Schizosaccharomyces pombe: one gene and its partners. The gene in region 1 interacts genetically with each later gene. Each region holds a gene or a part of one and is shown in the gene's direction. Other genes may lie near its edges. The genes, in order: spp27, cyb502, ntp1 and tma22.

Region 1 (4,752 bases):
AGTCGAGGTATCAATGAAGCAGATACCAAAAGAAGGCTCTTCGTTGTCAGATTGAAGACTTTCTTTAATAGCCATACAATATGTTGACAAGTCAGAAGTCAGCATTGCCTCGTCAACAAGGGTCCCGCTCGTTAAGACTTGGGTAAGGCCTCGCTGAACTACTTTTTCTTCCTTCTGAGTTCGTTGACGATCTTTTATTTCTTTACCTAAAGCGGTTTCCAATTGGTCGACTCGAGCTATACGATACCCCTTTGCAATGAATTGAGATGCCCAGTAATCAAAACTTGCTTCAGGAATTCCAACCATCTTCATATTAACTCTATCAGTTAACTTTAAGGAAAATACCTGATGTCCGATAGCGGCATCATTCTCATATAACTCATAAAATTTTCCCTTCTGAAAAAAAACAACTGTATCCATAAGGTCCTTTTTAATTTTCCAAAATTGTTTCTCAAATGGCTTGAAAGTTGCCCAAGCTGAAGGTGGGATATACAATGTGCGCGGATCATAATTAGGATCACCCACTCGATTTTGATCAGCATCTCGAACATCTAGCAACCACTCGTAACGTTCGTTGTTTTCTTTTTTAAATGCCTCCATTCTTTGCCTTCTTTTTTCTTCTCTGTTCAGGACACCGTTTTTATTCGATTTTGTGGGAGATGCAGAACCCGAGACCGAAGGGCTTGGACTGGCAATTTGAGAGCCTAGCCGATAACTTTCATACAAAGAATTGGAACTCTCCTTTCGAGATTCCTTTTTGGGAATTGGAGCAGCCACAGAAACGGAATGATCTGAATATCCATCAACATCCTCATCCATAGATTCGACTTCATCAATAGGCAAGGATGCCTCAGATGAGGCTTCCGAAATATGATCGGGCTCAACGTAGTCATCCGATTCGTCATCAGAAACGATTCTTTTATGACGAGATCCTTTGGTAGGTGCATCGTCGAAGTCTTCGTCTTCATCACTTTCAGCGTAGGAAACAGGCTAGCATATTGTTAGTCATAATTAATTAAAACAAAAATCTGGTTAATATAGGGGTAAAGTGCGTATTTCCCCTTTTATTCTTCTAAAGTAATATGTATCACTCAATTACCCATACCTTCCTTGAACGCCGAGAAGCTATAAAAGGCTTGTCGACTTCAGATAATTCCGAATTTTCCAGCTTCGACGAGACAGGATGACGAAATTGATCTTCAGCTTGAAATATTGATGTATCCAAACTTTTAAAACTTTTCTTTTTCGTCGGAGAATCGATTTCTTCTTCAGAGTCGGGCTCTTGCTTCACAGACGTGCGAAGCAATTTACCTGGTGACTCCTCGCCCAAAGAATCATGAGGGCGTTTAGGAGATGATCGGTGTAGGCTGCTAGAAAGCGGTGAGGAAAATGGATCACTTGATGGAGGAGGAAGCATAGATGAACTGGAATCTATCTCGGTATTCGCATGATGAGAAGGACTCGTTGGCAATTCGCGTTCCGGAGACGAAGAGTTTTTGTTCACATTGGAGCTGTTGTCAACATCAGCAGGCGTATCATGATTAGAGTCGTGATTCGAACTACTAGATAATGTAGAATCCGACTTCTCTTGTTTCACATTCGGGATTTTGGAGAAAAACCCAAAGAGGGTTTTCTGCTTTGTTTTAGCTGATGAATCTTTTGTTTTCTCCCTTTGCTTGCCAACGTTCCCAACGCTCATACTGGAACAAGTGTTGGTTTTGGCTAAGTTCAGTTATTTACAAAAAGCAGCATTCTAATAGTAAACAAAGCTAACATGAGAGCACAAAATAACATATATAATTTCCATTATTTTTAGTTTTACAAGAAATTAAATTGAAGCTTTATGTATTTACATCTGTAAAAATAGCGTGTTTTTCAAAATCGCATTTAGCTACACCAGCGCTCTTTCCTTCTTTACCGTAATCTATATCCACTACCACCGTCTCACTACACCATACTTTGACCAACACAGTAAGGTGGTAGTATAAAGAACTAGAACGATGGAAGAGTACGAAACAGACATTAAGCAAATTCTCGGTACAGTTGATCGCCAAACTGTATCTGCGAAGCAAGTTCGTCAACTTTTAGAAGAAAGAAGAAAGGTAGATTTGAGTGCGCATAAAAAAGACTTGAATGCGCTGATTTTGAAATGCTTTGATGAAACCGCCGCACCTTCAGAGAAGGAGAGTTTAGGTAAGATGAGAATATTGCTGGAAGAAATTTGCAAATAATAATGCAAGAAATAATAATTAACCAAACTTGTAGAAAAACAAGCACCCGCTCGCAAAACCAAGGGTAAGAGAGCGACGGAAAATGGCACTGAAGAAGGCAAGAAACCAGCAAAGAGAACCCGAAAACGCAAGGAAGATGGAGAAGAGGGTGGAAAACGCAAGAGGAACCAAGATCCTGCCAACAATCCTCTGAATAAGCCTATGAAGTTGTCCCCTAAGTTGGCCGAATTTTTGGGTCTTGAACAGGTAAGGCGGTGTTGTAGTGTGGAAGCCGTGCCTACTCGTTCCATTCAAAATCTTGTTGTTTTGAAAAAAGAGGCAGGCTTACATACTAAATGTTTATTTGCACGCTTTCTCTGCTGATTGCTAACTAACGTAGTTATCTCGTCCCCAAACTGTGAAGAAGTTATGGGAGTATATAAAAGCACATGACTTACAAGATCCCAACGACAAGCGAACAATTCTTTGTGATGACAAATTGAAAAGCGTTTTCGAAGTCGACACTTTGCATATGTTTACCATGAACAAGGTAAGTTAATCATGGATGGGTTCACAATTGTTTTAAGGAGGTTTGTCAACAAACTTTTACTTTGTCGATTGTAACTTTCCTTGTCTACTTTTTTCATTTGGTTACTTGTGGAAAACATTCCGCATTGCTCTTTGTTACCTGCTGCCGAAGCTAAGCTAACTTAATTAATAGTACTTAACAAATCTCATGACGAAGATTCCTGATGATCAATTGCCCAAACCTCAGCCTAAAAATGAAGAACCAGCGGCTCCGAACGATCTTCCCAAGCAGGAGGAAAAAGAGTTGGTCGAGCCTCCTACCGCCGAATCCACCGCTTGAGCCTTTGTGTTTGCTGCATGACCATATAAAACAGCCAAAACTTTTTTTCATATAATATCTTGCAATAATCCCTTTTTTTTTTGTCTCCAAAAATCATTCAAGTTTTTTGCTTTCATTGCATGCAATAAATGTTTATTTCGTTCAATACTCGCTTGCTTACCTGTTTTTCCTCAACAGATTTTGCCTATGTCCATGTCATATCCGTGCTTTAATACTAGAGGCTATGTATGTCTAGAGAGTCTCCACGCATAATCAGATATCGTATTTTGCATTACAACTTTCTGATCTTAAATGCAGTGTGAAAACAAAAGTTCAGGTTGCTGACTTTAGACCTTGGGTTGCTACAAGAGGTAATTTACGTTAGACTGACTGTGATTTTACGAATATTTCTTATCACCTATTCCTTATGGATATCTTTGTGCTTTTTTTTATAAATTCATATAGCATATTGATTTTCTTTTCTAAATGAACTGTTGTGCATGATGGAGATTTTCATGTATTGTATTAACACTTTCTTCACCGCACCTTTAATTATTTTACCGCTGCTTTGCTCTATAATATCATTGAAATAAAAAATGATTCACTTCAGCCCATTGTCGGGGAATTTTGTTTACGAAACCACCGTCGCTTGGAGCTGTCGAAGCCATATCATCAATAATAAATTTTATTTACTACCCTTGCGTATTACAAACCCATAATATGATGTTTGCTTTACAGTTTTGGATGATCTAAGATATGGCTTGGTTGTATGACTAGTACTCGTCTTGTGTCTATAGTGTATATATTAAATTATACGCAAATGGATGTTTTCTGGATATATGCTTTTAAGTCTCAAATAATGTACTGTCTTTTTAATTTGTTTATTATTTTATTTTGGGATTTTCTTTGGGGTTGCAAACCTGTCATCCGTTTGTTAGAGTATGTTTACATAAACATTTTTGTGTGCTTGTGGGTCGTTTTTTTTTTGGAAGATTGCTGCTTATAACCGTCAAAAGACTTATAAATTGATTAGACTGAGTGGAAAGTGTTCTTCTCTTTTATATTAGTCCTTAATGAATATACTTATTATTGATTGAATCATTTCATGGTGTTTACGACTTCTAAAGATCCAATCACACTTTAGATGAAGCCACATTTAACAGTTGTAACAATTGCATTTATTTGTAGACAGGACAACGCTTGCTTACATACATACACGACTTCTTGTTTAAGCACAAAGTAAAAAGATTATGGCGAAAAAGTTAGGGGAATATTTTTTTCAAAACAAATTAGTAAATTATATAAGCCCTTTATAAGAGATTGCTATTTACTTCCGCTGTACATTCAATGCTATATACGTTTCTAACAAAATATTCGATGCACGTTTCAAAAATCAATTCAGAAGCTTAAAAACTTTCCAATAATGTTGAAATTATAAATATATTCTTAGTTTGCGATATTCCAGCTAATTCAGAGGTCTCCAGCTAAACTGTTTTTTTTAGCATACAGCAGCTCGCTTTACGAAATTTTATTTACCCAGCGCCATACACGCAATCTTCTATAAACAATCAAAATGTCGCCTTCGGGCCCCAATTTAAATAATAAGGAGCACAACAGAGCATCGGAAAAAAAGAATTCTAGGACTCATAATAAAAAAACTAATAGGAATCGTACGTAACTTCCTTGTTGACATAT
Region 2 (3,046 bases), on another chromosome or scaffold:
CTTTATGAACAATGGCGAAAACAAAACGCTCAGCCTTCAAGTTCTGGTCTGCAAGAGTTAAATCGAATTGAAAACGGTCAGCAACAGGTAAAACAGAAGACATAACGTTTCCCAGGAGGATTTCAACGATTTGATTAAGAGAGTAGGCTAACAAATCTTGACGAGGAAAAAGCTGAAGTGTTGTATACACATTCTTCACGTTGAGACGTCCAGTAAGATAGGAGCTAAACTCGGTAGGAGAGTCATAAATGATTGGAGAACTGTTAGGACCTGGTCCATATTGTGCAAACTGTTGGCGAAAGCTAGACTGTAAGGAACCATACCAGCGAGAAGCGATTTTTTGGTTTTTCTTCTTTTGCGTGATAAAAGAAAAAACATAAAGGAAAAAACAAGCAAGAATAACAAATTCAAGACGGAAATCTCTCCAATCGACATGCTTGAACATTCCTGGATTCTCCAACTCGGGATTCATATTGTAATCCTCTTCGTATTCATCTTCCTCATCAGCCAGTACTCCTTTAGCTAGTGCAAAAACTAGAAACAAAAGCTTTTTATTAATCATGGTTCCTCCGCTTGTAAATTTACTGACTTTCGTGAAAGAAAAAAGGGCACTGGTTGTACGAAGTGAGATTGAACGTGGTGAAATAAGTAACGAACGAGACAAGCCGGTTCCTAGAGTGGGAAGATTAACTAGTGTATATAGATAGTTTAAAATAAGTCGGTAACCAGAACATGTCGCGATGGTGTAGTTGGGAGCATGACAGACTGAAGATCTGTTGGTCATCGGTTCGATCCCGGTTCGTGACACTTTTTTTGACGTGGAGAAAACACTTTGTACTAGTTATATCCAACATAATTTTGAGGTTTTTTCTTTTTACTTATTTTTATTTTTCTAGTTGCTATATGTGAAGCAAAATTAGATAGCTAACGGATGCTCAAGAATATTGTACTGGCACTTCAGCTTGTTATTGCAAAAGTTACAAAAACAGTCTGCAAAGACAAACAAGCATAGAAGCTCAGTTGGTCTAAATGTATATTACTAGATCGGTTCTGTAATTATTGGTGTTTTATTAGCAATGAATGGTGCTTTCAACTGAATATATCCGACAGAGAAACTATATGGCGTTACAATTTTCAAAGGTAGTAGTTTATCTATTTGGTAAATGATAGTTGTACGAACTGCTACGCATTTACTCAAAATCTTAGTTACATTCATGCGTTCTATATAAAAGAAAGTCATTTTGTACTTGCTTGTTTACGTATACGATCGGTTAATCTCAACAAAGCAAATAAAAGGAAGCTAGTCACCCTGTTGTACTTTATACCTAGGACATATTTTTTTTTTCAAACATGTAACATACCGTTACTGAAGAATGTCATAAGCTTAACGCTAGCTAAATTAAGCTTGTATCAAAGTTGCGAGGGATATTGAGATCTATCGTTATTAGATCATTATAGATAAAAAGATATAAATGAGAAATCCTCCATACCTCAACAATAATTGTTTATTGGTAAAAAAATATTATTCCTATCCACTTTTTGGTTAAGCAGAAAATCTGGCAGAATTTTGTACATGCCGCTTTGCCTATCATTGGCTGCTAAATAAATTCCTTGAGCTCGTTTGTTCGATTATTTACTACTACCACACGATACCCTAACGTGAGATTTTCTCTACTAGCGATATCAAAACTTTCGCAAACTTTTTCCAACTCCCCTCAACACACGATTTTTATTATATAGATTTATTTATCAAGATGTCGGTGAAATACTTTGAACCTGAGGAGATTGTGGAGCACAATAATTCCAAAGACATGTACATGGTCATTAATGGAAAAGTTTACGACGTTAGTAACTTTGCTGATGATCATCCTGGAGGCTTAGATATAATGTTGGACTATGCAGGTAAATAATTCGACAAAACTTTTGTAGAAGTAAACACCATATTATGTTGGAGACTGCTATGCTCAAAAGCGATAGTATACTTTTAATCGCTATCGTTTCATTCATCAGTTCTTCACTTGTGTGCCTTCTTGATTAAAACATTGTATACGGCTTTTTAAACATGTCCACTAACTATTTGTTTTAGGCCAGGACGCCACTAAGGCCTATCAGGACATTGGACACTCTATTGCTGCAGATGAGTTACTAGAAGAGATGTATATTGGTGATTTAAAACCCGGAACTGAGGAGAGACTCAAAGAATTAAAGAAACCTCGTTCATTTGATAATGATACGCCTCCGTAAGAAAATGATTTGTGTACGATGGTTGTTTCATGCTAACAGAACAGATTGCCTCTATTAATCGCATTAATTGTCCTGCCAGCCATAGCAGTAATTGTGTTTGTTAAGCTTAACAAATAAACTTCGAAGGCTTGCCTATTTATTTTCCTAATCTTTATACCTTCTTTTGTTTTTCGCGATGTTAGTATCACTCAATATTATTATGGATAGCAATTGTTTTCAAGGCTTCTAAAGAAACAAAATAAACGTTAACTTAGAAAAATATATTTCTTAAATGTCTTCCTTCAGTAAGAGAGCTCTTAAAAACAATGAGTTCAGCTCGTAACATGTAATTAACTCATGGAGATATTAAACAAACCAAAAAAGTATAACAAAAAGATTTAGCTAATAGTAAAGAGGGAAGTATGTAATCAGAAGTGGAATATAACTAATGGAAAAATTAGTTCTATTGGGCTTATGAAGGACTTCCAGTAATATTCGGTTGGACTTTAGATAAATTGATTACCATCTTTCCTTTGATTTCTTTATCACTCAGCTTAATGTTGTTAATATCATCAATCAAAACACCTAGTTTCCTTATTATAAACTCGGTTTCCTGCTCGGTAGGTTTAGCAACATCGTATTTTGGATCTAAATTCAATGAGTCGATTTGATCTAATACCTCCCTATCGCAATCATTATGTTAATATAGTTTCTACTGTATAAAAAGAATTTATCAAAAGCTTACTCATAAATGTTGTCCCGAGGGTCTCGCTGAGGTGCTTCGGTTCTCAATCGTAAAGAAAAGACGTCAATGAATTTATTT
Region 3 (5,626 bases), on another chromosome or scaffold:
TATCTGCCTATAACATTTTTCTTTTCTTTGGTTAGAATCTTTCTAAGCCTCTATATCGTTTATATAGGTTTTTACTCTGTGTCTTTACAGAATTAATCATATAAAAAATGTCTGTCTATCAAACTCGTGAAGGTTTGCCCAGTGGATGGGTTGCTCAATGGGATGCTGAATATGGAACATACTTTTATGTTAACGAGTCAGCTCAAAATCCACAGCCCCAATGGGAACCACCAGTCGAAAATCTGAAACTTGCTCCTCCTCCAGGAGCCACAAGCGTTAATACAGCTGTGTATAATAACAATAACAATACTTCTGCTGCGAATACGAATGCTGCATACAATGCTAATACTGCTGCAAATGCCAATGCTAACACTGCCACGACTACCAATGCTGCCGCTACTACCAGCGCTGCATATAACCCCAATGCCCCTGCCAATACCAATGCTGCATACTATCCTAATGCTGCTGCCACTACCACTACCAATGCAGATGGTAGTGATAAAGGGCTGTTCAGTGGGCTTACCTCTTCTAATGGCTACACCACTGGCAACTCTTACAGTAGACCAAGCTACGTTGCTCCTGTCGCTGCAGGGTTAGGTGGATTGGCCTTAGGTGGCCTGGCTTCACACGCACTTGGCAATCTCTTTCACCATCGTGGTCATAACGGTGGTGGTTTCGGAGGTTTTGGTGGTGGTTCTGGCGGTCCTCCTCCTGGTCCTGGTGGATTTGGAGGCTTTGGAGGCTTTGGAGGTGAAGGCCATCATCATGGTGGTCACGGTGGCTTTGGAGGCGGCCCTGGAGGTTTTGAGGGCGGTCCTGGTGGCTTCGGAGGCGGTCCTGGCGGCTTTGGAGGCGGTCTTGGAGGTTTTGGAGGAGGCCCCGGAGGCTTTGGGGGTGGTCCTGGAGGTCATGGCGGTCCTGGTTGGTGAGACTGAGAAACATGGAACTAAATATTTGTTTATGAGCTTTTTATGTGAGTATATTGCGCAATAGATATTAAGTCGATACCGTTAAAAAATTTTTTATGTTTATACTCAGTTATTTTGCTAAAGTGAAATTGAATTTTATTAAGGTAGGACTTTCTGAAAGTATTAAGTAGAGCTGGGCAATTTTAGAAGTGCACATAGAAAAGCTCGCAAGCAAGCAATTTTGATATCCCTGTGTTGTTGTTTTTTAGGTTTATGTAGGAATGATTCAATGCAACAGTTTAGATATAGGTAAACATAAGTGCTGTATCTATAGCTGTGGAAACAATTCATGCTTGTTCATACGTAACATTTTATGCGCAAGTATTAAAAGATTCTAAAAAATATCTATTATGTTCATTATCTCGCACACGTCAAACCCAGTCTACTTCGAAATGCGTACGTGTATACTTTGGCTGTATACAATCTGAAATTTGAAATTTAAAGCTGTCAGATTAGCTTCTATTAATATTGCGTAAATCGGTTAGTTCAGAGTCTTTTATCCCAATACTTCGTCAGATTTGTATACTTTCTTCATTAAAAGTACATGTTTATCTTAACATAGAAGAGGTAAGTACCGCTAATTAACCGAATTGCAACTTGTAATTATAACAGCCAAATCATTTCAAACCAGAAGAGTGCAAGTTTAAAAAAAAAACCGATAGAACAACATACAGTGCCGCATTCAAACTACACATACATAGGGTTTCATCTCGTGGTATATAACGAGTCAATAGAGCATTCTCAATGTTAAAAAATACGGAATATTGTGGTTCTTTACAAAACTCATTACCTTCTCAATAGTACCACTAAAATCAGTGATAACTGTTTCAGAGGCGTCCGTATATACCTTTTTTACTGTTGTATCTTAATTAGCCAATTTTCTCGTATCTTCTTTCTATGTTTCAGCTCATTGTTTTGATTATAGCGATGGTGTTCACCGTTGCTGCTATCCTATTGCCGCATCCTTAAACTTCCATAAGCTCTATAGGTGTCAGGTAGACTACGTCATTGAGTAACGAACTACATCAGCGTAAATTTGGTTTAGAATGTATGAGAACTTAGCAACTCCAAACCACAAATATCAACGACAGGATTATAGACTGATACATAGAAGAAACTAGCAGTTCTTTTAAAATTTTTTTAGGATTTAACGATTTATACCTATTGGGGTACTAAGAATTTGGTAGAGTTACTCAAATTCAGTTAAAGACACGGATTTTCCTTATACGTAATTAGTGTCGATTTTCTGAAATCTTGCTTGCTATTTTATAGCTTAGAACGAAAAAGCAGGAATTTGTTTTGTTTTGTTTTTTTAAAAAAAAAAACACTTTATCTTGTGAATTGCTTTGGAAAGTGAGCGTATTCCTCGTAGGAGCTTTTGAATTTTTGATATATCGTTAGCTTGTAGTGAAGGAAACGGAAGCCATCAACGGAATAACCTTGTTCTCCATCATTTGCTATCATTCGTGAATAGGAACAATAAAGAGAAAAAAAATACATTTTTAAAGAAGTTTATATATACATTGATCTAATAGTGAAAATATTTAACACGAATAAGTTTGTTTCATATGCCTTCGAAATTTTCCTCTAAATACGTGGATACAGAAGCCATTTCAAATGATGATGACAATCCCTTTGCAACCGCTAAGAGTTATTACTCCAAGGATACAGACTTGTCGACTCGGGTAAGTGCTGGCCGTCCTCGCACCTTATCCACTTCGATGGAGGCATCCGCCGCACCAACTATACCAGAATTAAAGAATTTACGTCGACGTGGAAGTCTTGATGAACATAAACAACCACGAAAATTTCTTGTTGATGTTGATAAGACATTGAATGCACTTTTGGAATCTGAAGACACCGACCGGAACATGCAAATCACCATCGAGGATACCGGACCTAAAGTTGTTTCCCTTGGCAGCGCTAGCTCGGGTGGATATCGCTTGTATGAGCTTCGCGGCACATATCAATTGTCAAATTTACTTCAGGAATTGACCTTGGCAAAGGATTATGGACGTCGATATATTTTACTTGATGAGCGAAGACTTAATGAAAACCCTGTGAACCGACTTTCTAGACTCATCAAAGGTACCTTTTGGGATGCCCTTACTCGAAGAATCGATGCCAGTGTTTTGGATGTTATTTGCCGTGATACCAAAGACCGATCAGGATCACACGTGAATCGAATTTATGTTCCTAAAGCCGAACAAGAGATGTATGAATACTATGTTCGCGCTGCTAAGGAAAGGCCTTACTTGAATTTACAGGTCGAATATCTGCCGGAAGAGATTACTCCAGAATGGGTGAGAGATGTAAATGATAAGCCAGGGTTACTTGCACTTGCAATGGAAAAATACCAAGATGATGAAGGCAATACACATCTTCGAGGTGTGCCATTTGTCGTTCCTGGTGGCCGGTTTAATGAACTGTACGGCTGGGACTCTTACTTTGAATCACTGGGTTTGCTTGTTGACGATCGGGTTGACTTGGCGAAAGGTATGGTGGAGAATTTTATTTTTGAAATTACCTATTACGGTAAGATCTTGAATGCCAACCGCACTTATTATCTTCTTCGCTCCCAGCCTCCATTTTTGACCGATATGGCCCTTCGAGTTTATGAACGTATAAAAAACGAAGAAGGATCTTTAGACTTTTTGCATCGGGCCTTTTCTGCGACTATAAAAGAATATCACACTGTTTGGACTGCCACTCCACGACTGGATCCCAAAACTGGTCTTTCCCGCTATCGCCCTGGAGGACTCGGTATTCCTCCGGAAACTGAAGCTTCTCATTTTGAGCATTTGCTTCGTCCTTACATGGAGAAGTATCATATGACTCTTGAGGAGTTTACTCATGCATACAATTACCAACAAATTCATGAACCCGCGTTGGATGAGTATTTCGTGCACGACCGCGCAGTTCGCGAAAGCGGGCATGATACTACTTATCGGTTGGAAAAAGTTTGTGCTGACTTGGCCACCGTGGATCTGAACTCGTTGCTATACAAATATGAAACCGACATCTCACATGTGATTTTAGAATATTTCGATGACAAGTTTGTACTTCCAAACGGAACTATAGAAACTTCTGCCATTTGGGATCGTCGTGCTCGTGCTCGTCGTGCTGCAATGGAAAAGTATCTTTGGTCAGAAGCTGATTCGATGTGGTATGATTACAACACGAAGTTAGAAACGAAGAGTACTTATGAAAGTGCTACTGCTTTCTGGGCCTTGTGGGCCGGTGTGGCAACTCCCCGTCAAGCCGCAAAATTTGTTGATGTTAGTCTTCCCAAGTTTGAAGTTGCTGGAGGTATAGTTGCTGGTACAAAGAGAAGCTTGGGTAAAGTGGGTCTTGATAATCCCAGCCGTCAATGGGATTATCCTAATGGCTGGAGCCCTCAGCAGATTTTAGCTTGGTATGGATTGATTCGATACGGATATGAAGAGGAGACTCGTAGACTTGTATATCGTTGGCTATATACTATTACTAAATCGTTTGTTGATTTTAATGGTATTGTTGTTGAAAAATATGATTTGACCAGACCAGTTGATCCACATCGTGTTGAAGCTGAGTATGGTAATCAGGGTGTCAATATCAAAGGCGTTGCTCGCGAAGGTTTTGGATGGGTTAATGCCAGTTACGAAGTCGGCCTTACATTCTGTAATTCGCATATGCGTCGGGCTCTTGGTGCTTGTACGACTCCTGATGTTTTCTTTGCCGGCATCAAGGAAGAATCTCTTCCTGCTTTCGAAAACCTTTCCATTCATAAAAATTAAGTTATCGTTTGCTTGAAAAAAATAATCGACTTTGTCTACTTTTTTAGTTGCCTTTAGCTTTATTCTCTTATTATGTTATTTTGGTTATCGACCGGTTAAAACCCATTGTTATGTTACATGTTATACCTTCCATTAAATCCTTCTACTATGAAGGTTCTATTTGGCGAATATTCCCTTACGAAACAATAGTTAATTCTATTTAAATTTATGAGTAAAGCTTATCACCAGCGATATTATTACTTTTTTACTTAAAAGAAAGAAGTAGTAAATGAATTTTTTACCTTACGATTCAATTCTAATTTATAATTTCCATGATAGTACTGTTGTTGCAGTTTTAGTCCGAATATAACTCTAATGTTTAATTTGGTGTCTATCACTTTATTAGTTTTTTTTTTGAAGGAATTGTCTTCTAGAAACTTATTTTGAGTTAATGTACCGTATTATGTCGTTCACATTTGTAGACAACATAAGTTGGCCACTTCCTTACACAACAACAGTATATTATTAAAATGTGTTATGGTTCGATATTCATTAAGAAAGGTAAGAGATGCTTAAAGAGATAAGGATATGAGTAAATTTAGTGTTTGAAGTTCGTAATTATCGTTCGCTTTTGAATGTGAATGTTAACAAAATTAGGCGCATGAATACGCCCGAGATGGGGAAAATCAGGAAGTTTTGGGAGAAATTTCACAAGCAATTATGTATTATGGATTAGCAAAAAGTCAGTTTGAAAAGATATGTCAGAACACAGCTCAGCCTCTTATTAAAAGATGCGCAAATAACCAAATCGAAGAGTTGATGGTTCGTATACGCGAGTTACGAGAATCATTGCCAAACAAACAAACACCAATATCAATGTCAATGTCTACGAGATTATCACCT
Region 4 (2,959 bases), on another chromosome or scaffold:
TATTTAATATAGGGCCTTTATATTATTTTTAAGTCTTTGTGGTATTTTGTAGGGATATACTGTCGAAATGGATTCATTTCATCCAACACCTGGAAAACCGACCACAGCAACATCAAATTCAAGTCTGAACTTTTTTGTAAGAAACAGAGAGAAAAGTATTAGGTGCTCAAGCTTGCATCAAACTTTTACAGCCCCTTCTCCTGAAGCTTCACCGTCAATCGGATTAAGATATGTAAATTACTCAATGAGCGACGAAACTGATGAATCTATGTTTCCACTTGATTCAGAACTGACCGATATGGAAGATGATGATACCGAGTACATATCAGACTCTACAACAGACTTGCCGTCCGCTGCCATGGCTAGAGGAACTAGGCAGTTGAGTTACAATGAAAATTTGGATCAGCGTTCGTTTTCTAAGACTCCAAATAAACATATTGAAGTAAAAAATTTAAAGGACCTTTGTAGTCCCTCTCATTCTGGAAGAATTTCGAAATCTTTGTGTCCTGTGTTACGAAGAAAGTCTTTGCTTCCCAAACCGAAAATGTTCCAACGCGTAGCCAGTGCCTTGTATGAAGAATCATCTCCTCTGGAGTTGGAAATCCGTAGTGAATCGGAATTTTCCAAGATGTTTTTCGAGCCTAAAAAATCATCATCCTTTGTTTCTAGAGCTGCTTCGCCTGCAATGGTAGGTCCGGGTGTACCGTTTTACAGTTCTATAACAGGTGCAAATGGTAATGTTCTCGCACCATCAGGATCTTTGAAAGCTGTTGAGAACTCTGATGTAATTGAGTCATCTGCAGAGGACAGTAGTAATACGGACAATCCATCTACTAAGCCTTCGAATGAGATGCCCATATCTCCTCTGCTTTCCAGTTCTGTATTTTTTAAGGATACAGAAATGTCAACTCCGAATAGCAATCACTCCAGATCCCGTACCCCATCCTCGAAAAAGCGAACTCGATGGGGCGAAGAAATAATCGACTTATCGAAGAGAAGAGCTGTATCTCCTTCCATTTATTATGATTTGGATAAGAAATGCTCTCCTATTCATTCTGTTATGGTCAGCCCCTTGAAGATTAAGGATACTCACGAAGTCTTGATGAATTTAAAGTTATGAACTAGCTCACGCTGCGAAGTGTGTATTTATTTGTACAATAATTGAATAATTAATTTCCTATCTTTTTACGCAACTTATTTTGTAGTAGCTTTTTATCATGTTGAATCTAGTTTACAATGTTACAGCGCCGTTATTTTTATTACTCTTTATAAAGAACAGCTTGTTATCATATCATTGTTTTGATATGTAAACAAAAGTCCTAAAAATCCGTTTACGGTTTCAGCAGCATAACATTATATTCTAAAATTTAAAACGACTTGAGATGTGAATTACTTTTTATTTAACGAATAACTTACAGCTTTTAAGCATATTTTACTCTCATAGTATATTTAGGCTTCGCCTCTTTGAATCTCGCTTTCTATTTTCGTTCCCCCAGGTAGTCTCTACTTTAACCTATACTGCAAGAAACTCAAATAATGGCTTCACAAACCATCCCGAAGTTAAAATCAGTATTATACTGCGATGTTTGTACATTGCCCGTGGAAGTACGTAATAAACAACTTGTTTTATAATTATATTAACTATGAATGCGTTGTAGTACTGCGAATTTGAGGGCACTTTAAAAAAATGTAAAGAATGGCTTAAATCATCTCACCCGGACGTTTATGATAAATTGTACGGTGAGCAAGACTTAAGCAAAGACCTTGAAAACACTCTGAATGTTAGCGGAACTAAAGATTCTAATGCAGAAGAACAACCGGCAAAATTGACGAAGGAGGAAAAGCGCGTTGAGCGTGAAGAAGCCAAACGTATGGCATCCAAGGTTTTGATAAAAACCATTGAAAGAACTAAAAGAAAGAGAGTCACCACAGTTCAAGGTCTTGACGCATTTGGGATCGAAACGAAAAAAGCTGCTAAGATGTTGGCCAACAAGTTCGCGACCGGAGCCAGTGTCACTAAAACAGCTGATAAGAAGGATGAAATTGTTGTACAGGGTGATTTGAATTATGATATATTTGATTTTATTTTGGAAAAGTTTAAAGAGGTTCCGGAAGACAATATTAAAATTGTCGAAGATACGAAATCTAAGAAGAAGCAGTAATCTTAATTTTTATTTTTTAAAAATACTACTAAGTATGCTATTTTTGGGGCTATTTTATCATAAACTGTCTTGTACAATCTTGTACAACCTAATTTTCTGTTAAATGGTTGCACAGTTAGGATACCGGTTTTTAATAATTTATTGAGACTCATGTTTTTTAATGTTTCTATATAAAAAATGCCTAATTATCAATATTTTACAATTTATTGCCTGTTGTATTAGTATGATGATTTGAAGTCACCATTTGTTTACTTACATTTCATTGCCAAGGCTATAGAGTAGTATTAGCATTCGTTGTGTATGCCATGAATTTCTTAGCAGTTAAAAATTGAAATTGTGTTTCTTTACGCCTTTTTGGACGTTATCAGCATACAAAATAAGGCAGCTTAGTAGTTCATTAAGAAAATGTTGTCTTGAATGTAGGAATAAATTATATTTTGACAAAGTAATCGATTCTACAAAGAATGCTGTGATCATTGTCACCTTTTTAAATTTGATAAAATTGATTTACTATGCAAATAGTTGTAGCTTCATTATTAACTAAGAAGAACCGTGATAATAACATTACTCAGTAGCTAGTTCTTCAGTGTACTTAACTTTCAGGGGACAGGATTTTAATATCGATACAAACACTTAAGAGATCCGAATGCGTATTTCGTTATTGAAGTTTTTGAGTCATTTGCGTTGAGGCGCATTAAGCAATGCTGATGGGGAAGTTGACGATTTCACCATTCGAACATTGCCAAAAGCAACGAAGTTGAGGAATTATGTTTTTTTTGACAAAGATCCTTCCTCTT

Evidence for each region.
Region 2: mutations in spp27 (region 1) and cyb502 together harm fitness more than expected from each alone (negative genetic interaction), as found in Schizosaccharomyces pombe (one large-scale study listed by BioGRID).
Region 3: mutations in spp27 (region 1) and ntp1 together harm fitness less than expected from each alone (positive genetic interaction), as found in Schizosaccharomyces pombe (one large-scale study listed by BioGRID).
Region 4: mutations in spp27 (region 1) and tma22 together harm fitness less than expected from each alone (positive genetic interaction), as found in Schizosaccharomyces pombe (one large-scale study listed by BioGRID).

The regions. Positions count from the first base shown.
Region 1 is NC_003421.2:1,829,983-1,834,734, forward strand, and holds spp27 (RNA polymerase I upstream activation factor complex subunit Spp27), read left to right. Parts: upstream 1-2,000; coding exon 2,001-2,193; exon of another isoform or gene 2,194-2,265; coding exon 2,266-2,477; exon of another isoform or gene 2,478-2,610; coding exon 2,611-2,760; exon of another isoform or gene 2,761-2,814; intron 2,815-2,931; coding exon 2,932-3,078; 3' UTR 3,079-4,187; downstream 4,188-4,752. Other genes in the region: msh6 (DNA mismatch repair protein), read right to left, coding at 1-990, 1,106-1,699; hel2 (ubiquitin-protein ligase E3), read left to right, coding at 4,631-4,727. UniProt on the Schizosaccharomyces pombe protein: Component of the UAF (upstream activation factor) complex which interacts with the upstream element of the RNA polymerase I promoter and forms a stable preinitiation complex. UAF seems to stimulate basal transcription to a fully activated level.
Region 2 is NC_003423.3:2,574,137-2,577,182, reverse strand, and holds cyb502 (cytochrome b5), read left to right. Parts: upstream 1-1,717; 5' UTR 1,718-1,754; coding exon 1,755-1,902; exon of another isoform or gene 1,903-2,086; coding exon 2,087-2,240; exon of another isoform or gene 2,241-2,288; coding exon 2,289-2,361; 3' UTR 2,362-2,520; downstream 2,521-3,046. Other genes in the region: SPOM_SPBC2G5.01 (Ca(2+) binding protein), read right to left, coding at 1-562; Ragulator-Rag complex subunit Lam1, read right to left, coding at 2,696-2,906, 2,969-3,046.
Region 3 is NC_003423.3:204,542-210,167, forward strand, and holds ntp1 (alpha,alpha-trehalase Ntp1), read left to right. Parts: upstream 1-2,039; 5' UTR 2,040-2,536; coding exon 2,537-4,744; 3' UTR 4,745-5,100; downstream 5,101-5,626. Other genes in the region: protein wwm2, read left to right, coding at 108-929; protein Atg38, read left to right, coding at 5,261-5,284, 5,381-5,626.
Region 4 is NC_003423.3:4,334,083-4,337,041, forward strand, and holds tma22 (mitochondrial translation initiation factor), read left to right. Parts: upstream 1-1,510; 5' UTR 1,511-1,536; coding exon 1,537-1,605; intron 1,606-1,658; coding exon 1,659-2,162; 3' UTR 2,163-2,398; downstream 2,399-2,959. Other genes in the region: protein Dbl6, read left to right, coding at 68-1,120; vacuolar protein sorting receptor vps10, read left to right, coding at 2,930-2,959.